Cricetulus griseus: one gene and its partners. The main gene of each other region encodes a partner of the protein of the gene in region 2 in a complex. Links are inferred from orthologs where the notes say so. Each region holds a gene or a part of one and is shown on either strand. Other genes may lie near its edges. The genes, in order: Nup54, Nup58 and Nup93.

Region 1 (3,652 bases), about 58 Mb from region 2:
GATAACCAGCACTACACAGCAAGACTCTCTCAAACTCACCAAAAAAAGAACAACAAAACCCAAAACAGGCAAAAGGAGCCAGTTATCTAAATGGTCCAGTAAAGTTTCATTCAATCTGTGCACAGCCATAATGTGCCCTGCGGCTCCTGAATGAAATCTACATGCTAGCGTCTAAGAAATCCAAAAAAGAAAAAAAGCTTTTCACCATTTCTGTAAATACATTAATAATCACCAACTGGAGATTTATGTTTCAGCAACAAACCCCACAACAGAACCTGTATTCATGCATGCATGTATGTATGCATGTATACTTACTGATCATCTGGCAGTGTCTTAATGCCCTCCACATTGACAGTAAGGGTCTGGTTTCCTCCCAAAACCTTATGTAATGATTCTACCAACTGTTGTTGCTGGCTTCTAATGTCTGCTTCTTTTTTGTTGAAAACTAAGACCACCAGTCCATCTTCATCTTTATTATTGGGCATACAACTATAACCTACAGCCTGTGAAATAAACAAAAGTATCAAAAATACATGCAGACTTTATATCAAATGTTTAATAGATAGCTTAGCATCTGCTAAAATGATGGAAATGGTAACCATTCTGTGGGACATCACATATTGTAAACAAACTTCATTTCTCTAACATAAACAGTGAAATTCAAATTTTCTCTCCAACATAGGAACTAAAGAATTTTCTCTTGAAGATCTTAATAGTCATTCATTTTTGGACATTTCTTATACACTGGAACAACTCATCTGACTCGTGAATCTTGAATTAAATTTTAAAGAAACAATTTACAAATAAAATAAGTTTAAAGTACAATGACACTGTCAAGATACTAATGACATGGAGAATGTCTATCTTATGAGTATATGTAATAAAACTATGAAACAGGTTATTGGTGTAATATTAAATGAATAAGTTATACTATATAGTATTAAATATGAGGTTAACAATAAGTCTTTTCACCAAGCCCTGCTGCCACATGGGCGCTTTCCGCCAGGCCGCCCGAGTTCTGCCCGCCACCACGTTAAGGTCCCAAGTAACACACAGAGACTTATATTAAGTACAAATGTTGCTTGGCCAATGACTAGGATTTCTCATCTGCTAGCTCAGTCTTAATTACCATAAATCTATATATTTTATAAGACTTATCTTATCGGACGCCAGTAGCAAGCGTCCTATCTTCCCCAGACTCACATGGTGACTCTGCGCTTTCTCCTACCTTTCTTCCTTGACTCCTAGTCCCACCTATCTTGTTTTCTTATTGGCCAACAGTACTTTATTTATCAACCAATAAGACAATAATATACACAGGACCTCCCCCATCAATGAGGAATCACACATTGCTAAAAATAGCTTTATATAGTAACATTTGTCCTTTGTTACCATTATATGCAACTTTAATAAAATTATTTTAAGTTCATTCATTTTATATGTATATTACATAGCAACTTTTAAGAAAAGTTAAAACATTTAAACTGATGCTTCAACCTATTGTATATCTTATTGCTAAACAATAACATTAAAAATTTCAACTAATACACTCAGATGATATAGAAATTAATAACCCTAGTGTACAAAGCTATTACTAAAGCAAAGTGCTCCAAATACTGAAACTTTATGCTGTCAGTATGATGGCCCAAGTATAAGAATTCTACACCCGACCTTGTATGACGGGTCATAGTACACAAACACACTAAAAAATACCGTATAAAATTACAGTTAGGCTGCATGTACAAGCTGAAGCTACATTAATTAATTTCCTATTTAGAAGAGTTCCCCAAGGTATGTCATTAGATATTTAATGACCCCATAGTGCTGGAGTTAAGTGCAGTGCAAAGCATGTGACTAGCATACATGAAGCTCTGGATTTGATTCCCAAGCACCACAGCCCTCCCCCAAAAATGCAGGGTGAAGTATAAACTTAATTGTAATATGTAATTTGTTATGTAGGAAACACATTGCCAGCTGGATGTGGTCATGCAGCCCTACCATCCCAACACTCAAGAGGCTGAGCCAAGAGGATCATAAGTTTGAGGCCAACCATGGCTACATAATGAGTTCAAGGTCAGCCTGGACTATTACTGCATTACAGCAAGTACCTCTCTTCTGTGAGCTTTTCTTTGATGAAAAAAAAAAAAAAAAGAGAGAGAGACCACACATATACAAAAAGCAAAAACAAAGAAAAATAAATGGTAAAGTAAAACACTACCACTGTCTAAAGAGCAGACTACCTGAAGTCAAGTTTCAATGAGATGGTTGTTTATAGACAATGAGGCAGAACAAAGAAAGTGGCCAATGTTCTTTTATTGTCTTTAGCATCGAACTCTAATAATAGTAACAGGGTTCTACATGCCAAGGAGAATTCTGTGCACTGGCCAGGAGGCACTTCCTTGACTAGTTAAATGAAAACAACCTAAGTCTAGTACCCTTTAAAAGTGGCAAGCAGACCATGCCTTCTTTTGTTTTTGTTTTTATTTATTTATTTAAAGGGGTATGCCATGGCACACACAGAAAGGTCAGAAGACAACTTTCAGGAGTCAGTCTTCTACCATGTGCTTTGGGCAGAGTCAAACTCAGATCATTAGGCTCGGTGGCAAGCACCTTCATCCACTGAGTCACCTTGCTGGCCCTGGGTTTTTGTTTGTTTGTTTGTTTGTTTGTTTTGAGATAGGCTTCCAACTTGCTCTGTAGCGGAGGGTGACTGACTTCTGGTCCCTCTATGTCCATGCTTGAGCTGGGATTCAGGCGTGCACCACCACAGCTAGCTTGCCATTGTTCTGTCAACACCCTTTTTCTCAGTCCTATTCTGGTGACTATGTGGCCACTCTGAACCATATATAATACTTTTTCAAAATCACTTTAATTTTATAATTTTTGTTTAAAATAAAAAGTATAATCATATTGTTCTCAAGAAAACACTTTTAAATGTCATTTTAATCTAAAAGTTACTATCTCTTTTATAGTCACTCTTTAAATGAAGATCAAAGACAATTGATACCTTAAATCGGCAAAAGGGGTTTTCCTGTGTAAACTCCACGGGAGGAATATTATTGTTGAAATAGCCTTTTCCTGTTCCCCAGAAAGCCTGAAGCTGGTTCCACTTTGCCAAAATGGCATCTCTCTCATCTCCCAATAACGTTGGAGCAGAAAGGGCACTGGCAGTATTGATCAGCTGGTTGGACTGGGCAGGAGCCTGTGTAGGCTGACTGAAGAGACCGCCTAGAGCTTAAAAAGGAAAACAAAGCAAACAACAAAAAAAACAAGCCCAGAAAACTTAGATTCAAGGTATGGTAAGCAAATCTCTTCCCAGCTATCCATATTCTAACTAAGGAACCAATTTATGTATTATCCTACATATGGGTGAGAGTATATGCAGCCAAGACAGGAAAGAACCAAGAGGTAAAACAAATAAGCTGTCCAAAGCCTGAGGATGTCGAAGAGGACCAGACTGGATAATGGCTGAAATGCAGACTAAATGAGCAATAGCTTGTGGGCTGTCAAGGTCTGGAGCACCATGGGCCCCTCTGGAGGGAGAGCAGAGGACATGGCTGAGTAAGCAGCTCTACAGATGCTATCATAACCCAAACTGGTGGCACAGTTCGAAAAAAGGCCAGACTGTTGAGACCAGATACTTCAGAGACTG
Region 2 (3,652 bases):
CTGGGTAAGAATTTTTGAGAAGAGATCAAACTCTGGTTTTCTAATGAATTGAGTAGCTTTTCTCCTCTCATCTAATATTTCAGAGTAGGGAGGAAGAAAATTAATTACAAAGAATTTTGTCTGGATCCCACATAATTGTTTTTCAATAACCTTTCAGTATTTGGGTATATAAAAAACTGAATGTTTCTGTATCATGCCTTTGTAAGTTACAGATTTATTTTAAACATAGATGACTTTTGATGTGGAAGTTTATGTCATATTACATTTCCAGGTGTTTGACTTTATATGAGAAAGCACCAAACTATGTGACAGTCTTAGAATTAGCCCTGGTTGTATCTCTGAAAGGTTGTGAGATGTTAACTGTCCTATCATACCTTGAAGCAAAGCTTTTAGTTATCTATAACATTACAGAATTATGGGGCTGGGGGCATAGCTCAGTGGAAGAGCACTTGTCCTCCTGTGTGTTTGAGGTTTAATCCTTGCTGCTGCCAAATAAAAGTAAGTAAGTGTGTGTGTGTGTGTGTGTGTGTGTGTGTGTGTGTGTGTATGTATGTATGTATGTATACATATACACATACACTCTAATGAAAGTTTTGGATTCTCTTCTACCTTGAGGACACAATAGTTTCTTAGTGGTAAGATTAAGGGAATACAAACAACTAGAGTGTCAGCCTTTCTTCAGTCTGAACAGCAGTAAATAATGGGTGGCCATAAAATAGAAGGAATGAAGGGATGGTAAAGCCCAGTGTGGTGGAGCATGTCTGTAGTCCTCAACACTCAGGAAGATCAAAGGTTGAGGACCAGTCTGGGCTACTCAGTGGGCCAGCCTGGGGATAGCTAGCAAGACTGTCTCAAGAGAGGTATGTGAGTGTTAAAAGCCTTTTGTGTGGGGTTAAGGTCATCATTGGCAGACTACTAAGATGCTGCTTACTTTGTTAACTAACAATTTGACAAGATTGCTTATGAGGGTGAACATAGACCTTTCTTGTTCTCTTACAACTCACCCACACATAATTTTAAAACACTGTGCTTGGTGATGAACTCCCAGTTGTCCTCAGGGCAATCCAGAAGCATGGTTTCCGACTTTTGCAGTAACTCCAGGAGAAGCCCAAATAAGGGTTGCATTTCTTCATTTAATATTATTTGAGTAGTTAGTGCTTCTGAACTGTGTAGTCTGCTTATACATCATGCCTTGGACATTCAGCATTAACTTGAATTTGCAGTGGTGACATGGTACTAAGAATATGATTATGTCAAAACCGTTAAGTACAGGGGCAAGGTATTCATGAGCTCTGACATGGAGGGACAGGCAAGTGTATGAACATGTTCTTGTGTCTGATACTGTGCTAATGCAGGAATGACAGTGTGGAAGACAGGAGAGTAGGCTTATCTGGAGTTGGGAAATATTTTACATGAAGCAGTTGAAAATATAAAGTTGTAATCATAAAAGGATCTAAGGGAATATAAAATACTGTTCTTGGAGCTTATGATTCAGAGTGGAAATAGGAGGAAGAATTGATATTTAAAAAACTGGTTGAGACCATATAAGAATGAGCAGTATTTTGCCAGGCCTTTAGACTGTTTAACATACTTAAGCGTTCATAGGATCCTTAAGGTGGACAGAATTATTGAAGTACTGTCCTCTCAGCTCTTGCTGTTGTAAAATGAGGTTAACTGTGGTCACCTACCTGGGGCTCACAGGATTGGACCCACTAACATTCCCTCTTGGGGAGGGAAGACTCGCATGCACTGGGCTGCTCACAAAGGCAGGCCTCAGGTCCTCAAGTGCTACCCTTCCCTGAAAGTATACAAGCAGTTTGTAATTGCTGTGGAGAGAGAAACTTTTTTCAGTGGTGTAGTTGCCCAAGCCCTCACTCAGACTTCTTTTGGTCTCCACAACTAAACTCATTGTTGACCAGTGATTCCTTTTGACTTTTTTTTATCTGGGGTGAATAAACACTAGTTCATGTCTCCTAAAGAAAAGTTTATGCCAATACCAAGATGCTGCTAAAGTAACTGAGCTAATACTGAGAGTAGATGAGAGATTGCAGAGACTGACAGATTAAGAGGTTGCTTTAGAGGTGGCCTAAACTGAAGTTTTTGAGGGTGCCAGTAATCCAGCAATATTTTTTGAAACAAAGAAGCTGGTGGTAGTTAGGGTTAGATTCATATACCTGTGGTTGAAATGATAAAAATGGAGAGACCAGTGGAGGAAGCAGCAACAGAACTGGCCTGAACGGAGGAAGAGATCTACAGGCAGGAAAGGAGGAGTGAGAAGAGAGCTTGGTGCTGACAGAAACGGGGGTCCGGGAAGAAGAGGATTTTCAGGAGTACCAAATGATACTTGGGTAGTTTGTGACAGGAGGGACTACTTTTCTGTTGAGAGCAAAGAGAGTTTTGGGGAATAAGTGCTATTACAGGTAAGTCTGGGGATGGAATTGCAATTGCCATTGTGTTTGTATTCTTTTTCTTTGGGTTTTTTTTTTGTTTGTTTGTTTTTGTTTTTGTTTTTATATAGAGTCTCACTATGTCTCTCAGGCTGTCCTGGAAATCACTATATAGACCAGGCTGGTCTAGAACTCACAGAGATCTGCCTACCTATGCCTCCGGAGGGCTGGGATCAAAGGCGAGTGCCACCACACCCATCTTGCATTTCTTTTTCTTAACCCAAAGGATCATCTTTTTTATATTTTTACCATGATTTAGTCCCAACTTAAGTATTTTCTTTCACTTCTACAAATCCTTTTATCCCATTTATGATAAAGGATTATAGACATAAGGATACTAATTAAAACCAGCATAATATCTGTATGATTAAGATAAAATGATTTTTTTTTTTTTTTAAACAGGAACACCAGCTACTACATCTGCATCTACAACAGGCTTCAGTTTAGGATTCAGTAAACCTGCAGCCTCTGCTACACCATTTGCCCTGCCTGGCACGTCTACCTCAGCTAGTGGTCTCACTCTGTCGTCTGCTCTGACATCCACGCCAGCAGGTGAGACAGAATGGGAAGAAAATTGAATGTGATGCTTACATTGAAATTTTATCCAGTTAGAGAACATCAGTGGCCATTTATATTAAATAGAATACCAGGCTGGGAGATGGTGCAGTGGGTAAAGCATTTGCTATTGTTATTATAAGGATTTGTTGTACAAGAATAAAAAACTCTAAAACTCAACTATACTTTGGGAATTTTTTTATTTGAATTAGTTGGCAATTTTGTCTTTTTGAACTATTGGCTTAGTAGTTCACACCTATGATTTGGGAGGATGCCTCAGGAAGATCTTGAGTTCAAGGCAAGGCTTGGCTATGTAACAAGACTTTATTTGGGAAAAAGATAGCATTGGCCATTAAAGCAGTTTGGCCATCTTGAAATATGGCCTCTGTTCAGAATAAAGAGGATCAGAGTGGTGAAATACACAGATGTTTTTTATCTTATTTGTTGTCAAGAGACTTTATGGCAGGATGTATAAAGACATTTGTAAATTCACCTGGCTCAGGATTCATTTGCTTTTAAAGGCAGAAATATTGTCTGGGATACAAACTATATTGTCTAGAATCAGTTATTGGGTGCCATTGGAATAGTGCCCAAAGCTATTTTGTTGAATGAAGGGACAAAGGGGAGGAACCCCAGTTACTGTCTTGAAG
Region 3 (3,652 bases), on a different chromosome or scaffold from region 2:
TATGTATGTATGTATGTATGTATGTATGTATGTGTACCATGTATATGCCTGGTGCCTACAGAGGCCAGGAAGGGCATTGGATCTCTGCAACTGGAGTCATGGGGTTAAGGATGTTGTGAGCACCATGGGGATTCTGGGAACCAACCTGGATTCTTAAGAAGAGCAACTGCTTTTGACCAGTGAGCCATCTCTCCAGTCCCAGGAAAACTTTCTTTTTAGGTTACTTAATCATCAGCAGTCATTACATATTCTTAGATAGATGCATTTAACCCAGGCTCTTGGACTATGCACTGTTGGCTACTGTAGAAGGCTACCATGGGAAACCATGGTGGCTTTGACAATGCCTATAAGAGAGCCATCCATTACGTTGCTCTTCTTTAGTCAGAGGCACCTCTTGAGCAGTAAGAACTCTGTAAAATGGGAATTTCACCCTGACTTAACCATTAACATGCTAGAGAAAGTGCTCCAGCAGGGACAGTGATAAACAAAGACAATGTTGAAAAGCTTGAGCATTTATGCTAAAAGGCCTGCAGATCTACCAAGGACAGAGAAGAAAAGAGGCATCAAAAGGGCACACTTACCTTGGCAAGATCATAAAGCTTGGCTGCTTCTTCAAACAGTCCTTTATTTTCTGCCACGGAAGCAACTTTGTTGATAATTGGCTTTGTGTCATTGGTAAACTTATCAATGACTCCAGGCTGACAAGACAAATTACGAAGGGGAAGAGAGACTCAATACCCACAGCAGCTGTGACACAGTAGCACTTGAATTGGAAATGCTTGCCCTGTGCAACACGTTTTCATTTGCCAGACTTGGGCTCTTTTGAAGACATAAACCTCACACCAAAACCATGGCAAGAAAGATAGAGCATATTTAATGGAAGCACTGTGGAGTTGGCTACAGGACATTTGTGGTTTCTAAAATGACTGAGAGTAGGCAAAATTATTAGTGATCCTAAATTTGCTGGCAATCAGGAAGTTATGAGAAAATATTTTGAAGAGTGTCAATCTGCTTTCTAAGACAGATGCTGAACAAGTACACAGGAAGTGGTGGTAAGTACTTTGGAAAAAGTTTCTATCACTATTCAACAGCAGGCATGTGATCAGGAGAGTCTGAGACCCCAGGACCCACAGGGGAGGGGTATGGACTATAACACTTGTGCTTATCCATGCTAATGCTCCATCAGGGCTGGACCAAGTTGGGATGATCTGCCCCTGGATCAACAGAATATACATGCTCACATGCTCAGATTCCAGTTGTGTGGTCTTGAAGAAAACAAATCACTTGGGAAACACAAGTTAATGGTTCTCATTTTGTTGGTGATTGTTATAACCTGGCACAATGCCCAAGAAGATGGGCTACCACCATCAGTACCATCAGACCCCTCATCTCGGCTGCTAGGCCAGCTATGCAGTTTTACAAAGAAAAGTGAGTACCTGTGGGGCACACAGGGAAAGCCATGGTCAGTACTGGGCTCCGACAATGGGTTTCTGCCCTTTTGTTATGGTGACCCCTGGCATGCCAAGTTCCAGAGGAACCGCTTAGGCTCCTGGGAAGACAGCATTTCCAGGGTTGGCAGGGAGTTCTGAGTACTCAGGGACTGCCTTTTGAGAGGAGTGAAATATATTTCTAACTTTTACATCTGGAGAGTAGGCACAGCAATCAACTTTTCTTCATGTTTTCTAAGTTAACAATGGCAAAAATTCAAACATCTTAGCTTTTGAAAAATGTCAGGCATGCTTTGAATAAATGAAAAGGCTATCTAATCATAATTTATAAATTTTAAAGAAAACAAAAATGTGTGTAAAACCAAGGCCATCAGTTGGTCCTATAATTTCCTCTTTCTTTTGTTAAAGTTACAGTATCCAGATGTGAATCCTACAATGTAACTATATTCTTTTACAGTTAGGGATACATTTAACTCACCTTTCTACTTCCGTCATTCTCTAGTTTCCCAAGGATCATATCAAACTGTGGAGGAAAAGGTTTATTTAGTTTACTGGTCAAGGAAATAAATGTAACACACAATTCCTTAGGGAAAAAGGTGGGAAGAAAAGGGGCAAAGGAGAAGTCTTACACAAACTAGGAAACAGTGGGGCTGAGATCAATATTTTCAATGTTGGAAATCAAAGAAAGCTCCACCCTAGGCCATGTACAATGTGCTCACACAGGGTGTCACATAAGAACATACTGCAGACTCCTGATAGAGCGAGAAGAAAGCTGACCTACCTCTCGACTTTCTATCACAAGCTCGCTCACACAGCGCAGAAACATGTTTTCTCCTTGACTGTCTTTCTCGTCCCTACAAATGCACAGGAACAGCTTGGGTGGTTTGTGGCATGGAATCAAAGAAGAGGCATTCTCAGAATGGACAAATAAAAGGTAGCCAAGTAAAAAGGCAAAAACAGGTTTTACCTGAGGAAGTAAAAGTACTGGAGTGCTTCCCTTGGATCCGTGGACTCAAACTTGCGGGTGTAGAGCATGAGCAGACGAACAAAGTTCAGCCGTCGCATGCAGGGTGGGTCACCAGGCTCATGGCTGACTGCACATGGGAACAGAAGGGCTCACATTCTCATAGCTCCTCTGACCCCTGCAACCCAGAACCCACTGAAATGGAATGTACAGGCCTAGAAGTACGTATTTCTGTAACCCATTCACTCCTCAATTCCCATTGTGGCCTCACTACCGTCCTGCATACAGACAGTAGAGGAAAATGTCTCATAAGTGAATGACCAGCACGCTGGCCTTTACAGGAAATAACTATGTACCTGACCATCATGGCTCATATACTGACCCACTCACTCACATATGCTTGGCTCTTCACCCACCTCTCCCACCCGGGTAGGAGGGTAGAGAGGTGGCTAGCTGGGGCTTCCAAAGTCTTTAAAGCCAAATCCCTAGTGGGCACGACATTCATGACTCTTGGAATGGCTTTGTCTGTCCACAAAGCTAGTGCCTGGCATTCCCTTTCACACCCCAGGGAACGCCAAGGGGTTATAAACAAGTACTCTAACACTAATATAAAAGTTCAAGTAGCCACAATGCTCCAGAATCCCTGGTGGCTGTCATTCCACAGCCACTGTGACCAATGGGAAGGTGTGCTGTGTCACACCACCGCTAGCCAAGGCCTGAATACTCACGGAGCTGAGCACTCTGCCCTGAGGACTTTAAAAGCAGCTTCAGTTCAAACAGCACCAGGGCCACGTGGACAGCATGGCAGCGCAGTCGCTCCATGCGGAAGAGAAAGGCAATGGCAGCCTCAAACTGCGCAGTCAGGAACAGCACTTGGAAGTAGAGGAAGGGCTGCTGGTTCACTGTGAAGTGGGACTCGCCTGGAGGAGACGAGATGAAACAACTCAGAAGGAAGCTGCCACCAGCGATCTGACCCTGGGTATCCACTGGCTTTGTTGGGTGGGGAGAAAGCAACAACATGAGCCTAAAATAGCTGAAGCCACCTTGAACAGAGTTAACTAAACTACATGGAATATGACCTGGATCCAGGCAAGGTGGTATATGCCTCTAATACTTTTAGTTACAGCAACAGAAAGGCAGAGGTAGTGGATCTCTGTGAGTTCAAGACTAGTCTGGTCTACCAAAATGAGTTCCAGGACAACTAGAGAGAGACCTTGACTTAAAAAACCAAACCAAAAAG

The links.
Region 1: the proteins of Nup58 (region 2) and Nup54 are in contact, whole or in part, in a crystal structure (PDB 4JO7), measured with the Homo sapiens proteins. The link is inferred for Cricetulus griseus from reciprocal best matches to the Homo sapiens genes NUP58 and NUP54. Residues at the interface, in NP_054808.1 of Homo sapiens: Pro342, Tyr345, Phe346, Leu349, Val350, Phe353, Gln356, Leu357, Tyr360, Gln363, Ile364, Leu367, Leu371, Gln374, Ser378, Ile392, Tyr393, Phe396, Leu399, Ala400, Leu403, Ile406, His407, Val410, Lys414, Tyr417, Tyr420, Arg421; in NP_059122.2 of Homo sapiens: Tyr453, Leu459, Glu462, His466, Leu467, Gln469, Gln470, Gln471, Gly473, Leu474, His476, Leu477, Ile478, Ile480, Ile481, Asp484, Leu485, Ile488, Lys489, Leu490, Val491.
Region 3: Nup58 (region 2) and Nup93 share a complex: the UniProt entries of both Homo sapiens proteins name them as parts of the p62 complex. The link is inferred for Cricetulus griseus from reciprocal best matches to the Homo sapiens genes NUP58 and NUP93.

The regions. Positions count from the first base shown.
Region 1 is NW_023276807.1:157,229,786-157,233,437, forward strand, and holds part of Nup54 (nucleoporin p54), read right to left. Parts: intron 3,235-3,652; coding exon 3,008-3,234; intron 504-3,007; coding exon 316-503; intron 1-315. UniProt on the Homo sapiens protein: Component of the nuclear pore complex, a complex required for the trafficking across the nuclear membrane.
Region 2 is NW_023276807.1:215,232,977-215,236,628, reverse strand, and holds part of Nup58 (nucleoporin p58/p45), read left to right. Parts: intron 1-2,849; coding exon 2,850-2,999; intron 3,000-3,652. UniProt on the Homo sapiens protein: Component of the nuclear pore complex, a complex required for the trafficking across the nuclear membrane.
Region 3 is NC_048596.1:170,541,506-170,545,157, reverse strand, and holds part of Nup93 (nuclear pore complex protein Nup93), read right to left. Parts: intron 3,333-3,652; coding exon 3,141-3,332; intron 2,543-3,140; coding exon 2,416-2,542; intron 2,303-2,415; coding exon 2,230-2,302; intron 1,972-2,229; coding exon 1,927-1,971; intron 699-1,926; coding exon 582-698; intron 1-581. UniProt on the Homo sapiens protein: Plays a role in the nuclear pore complex (NPC) assembly and/or maintenance. May anchor nucleoporins, but not NUP153 and TPR, to the NPC. During renal development, regulates podocyte migration and proliferation through SMAD4 signaling.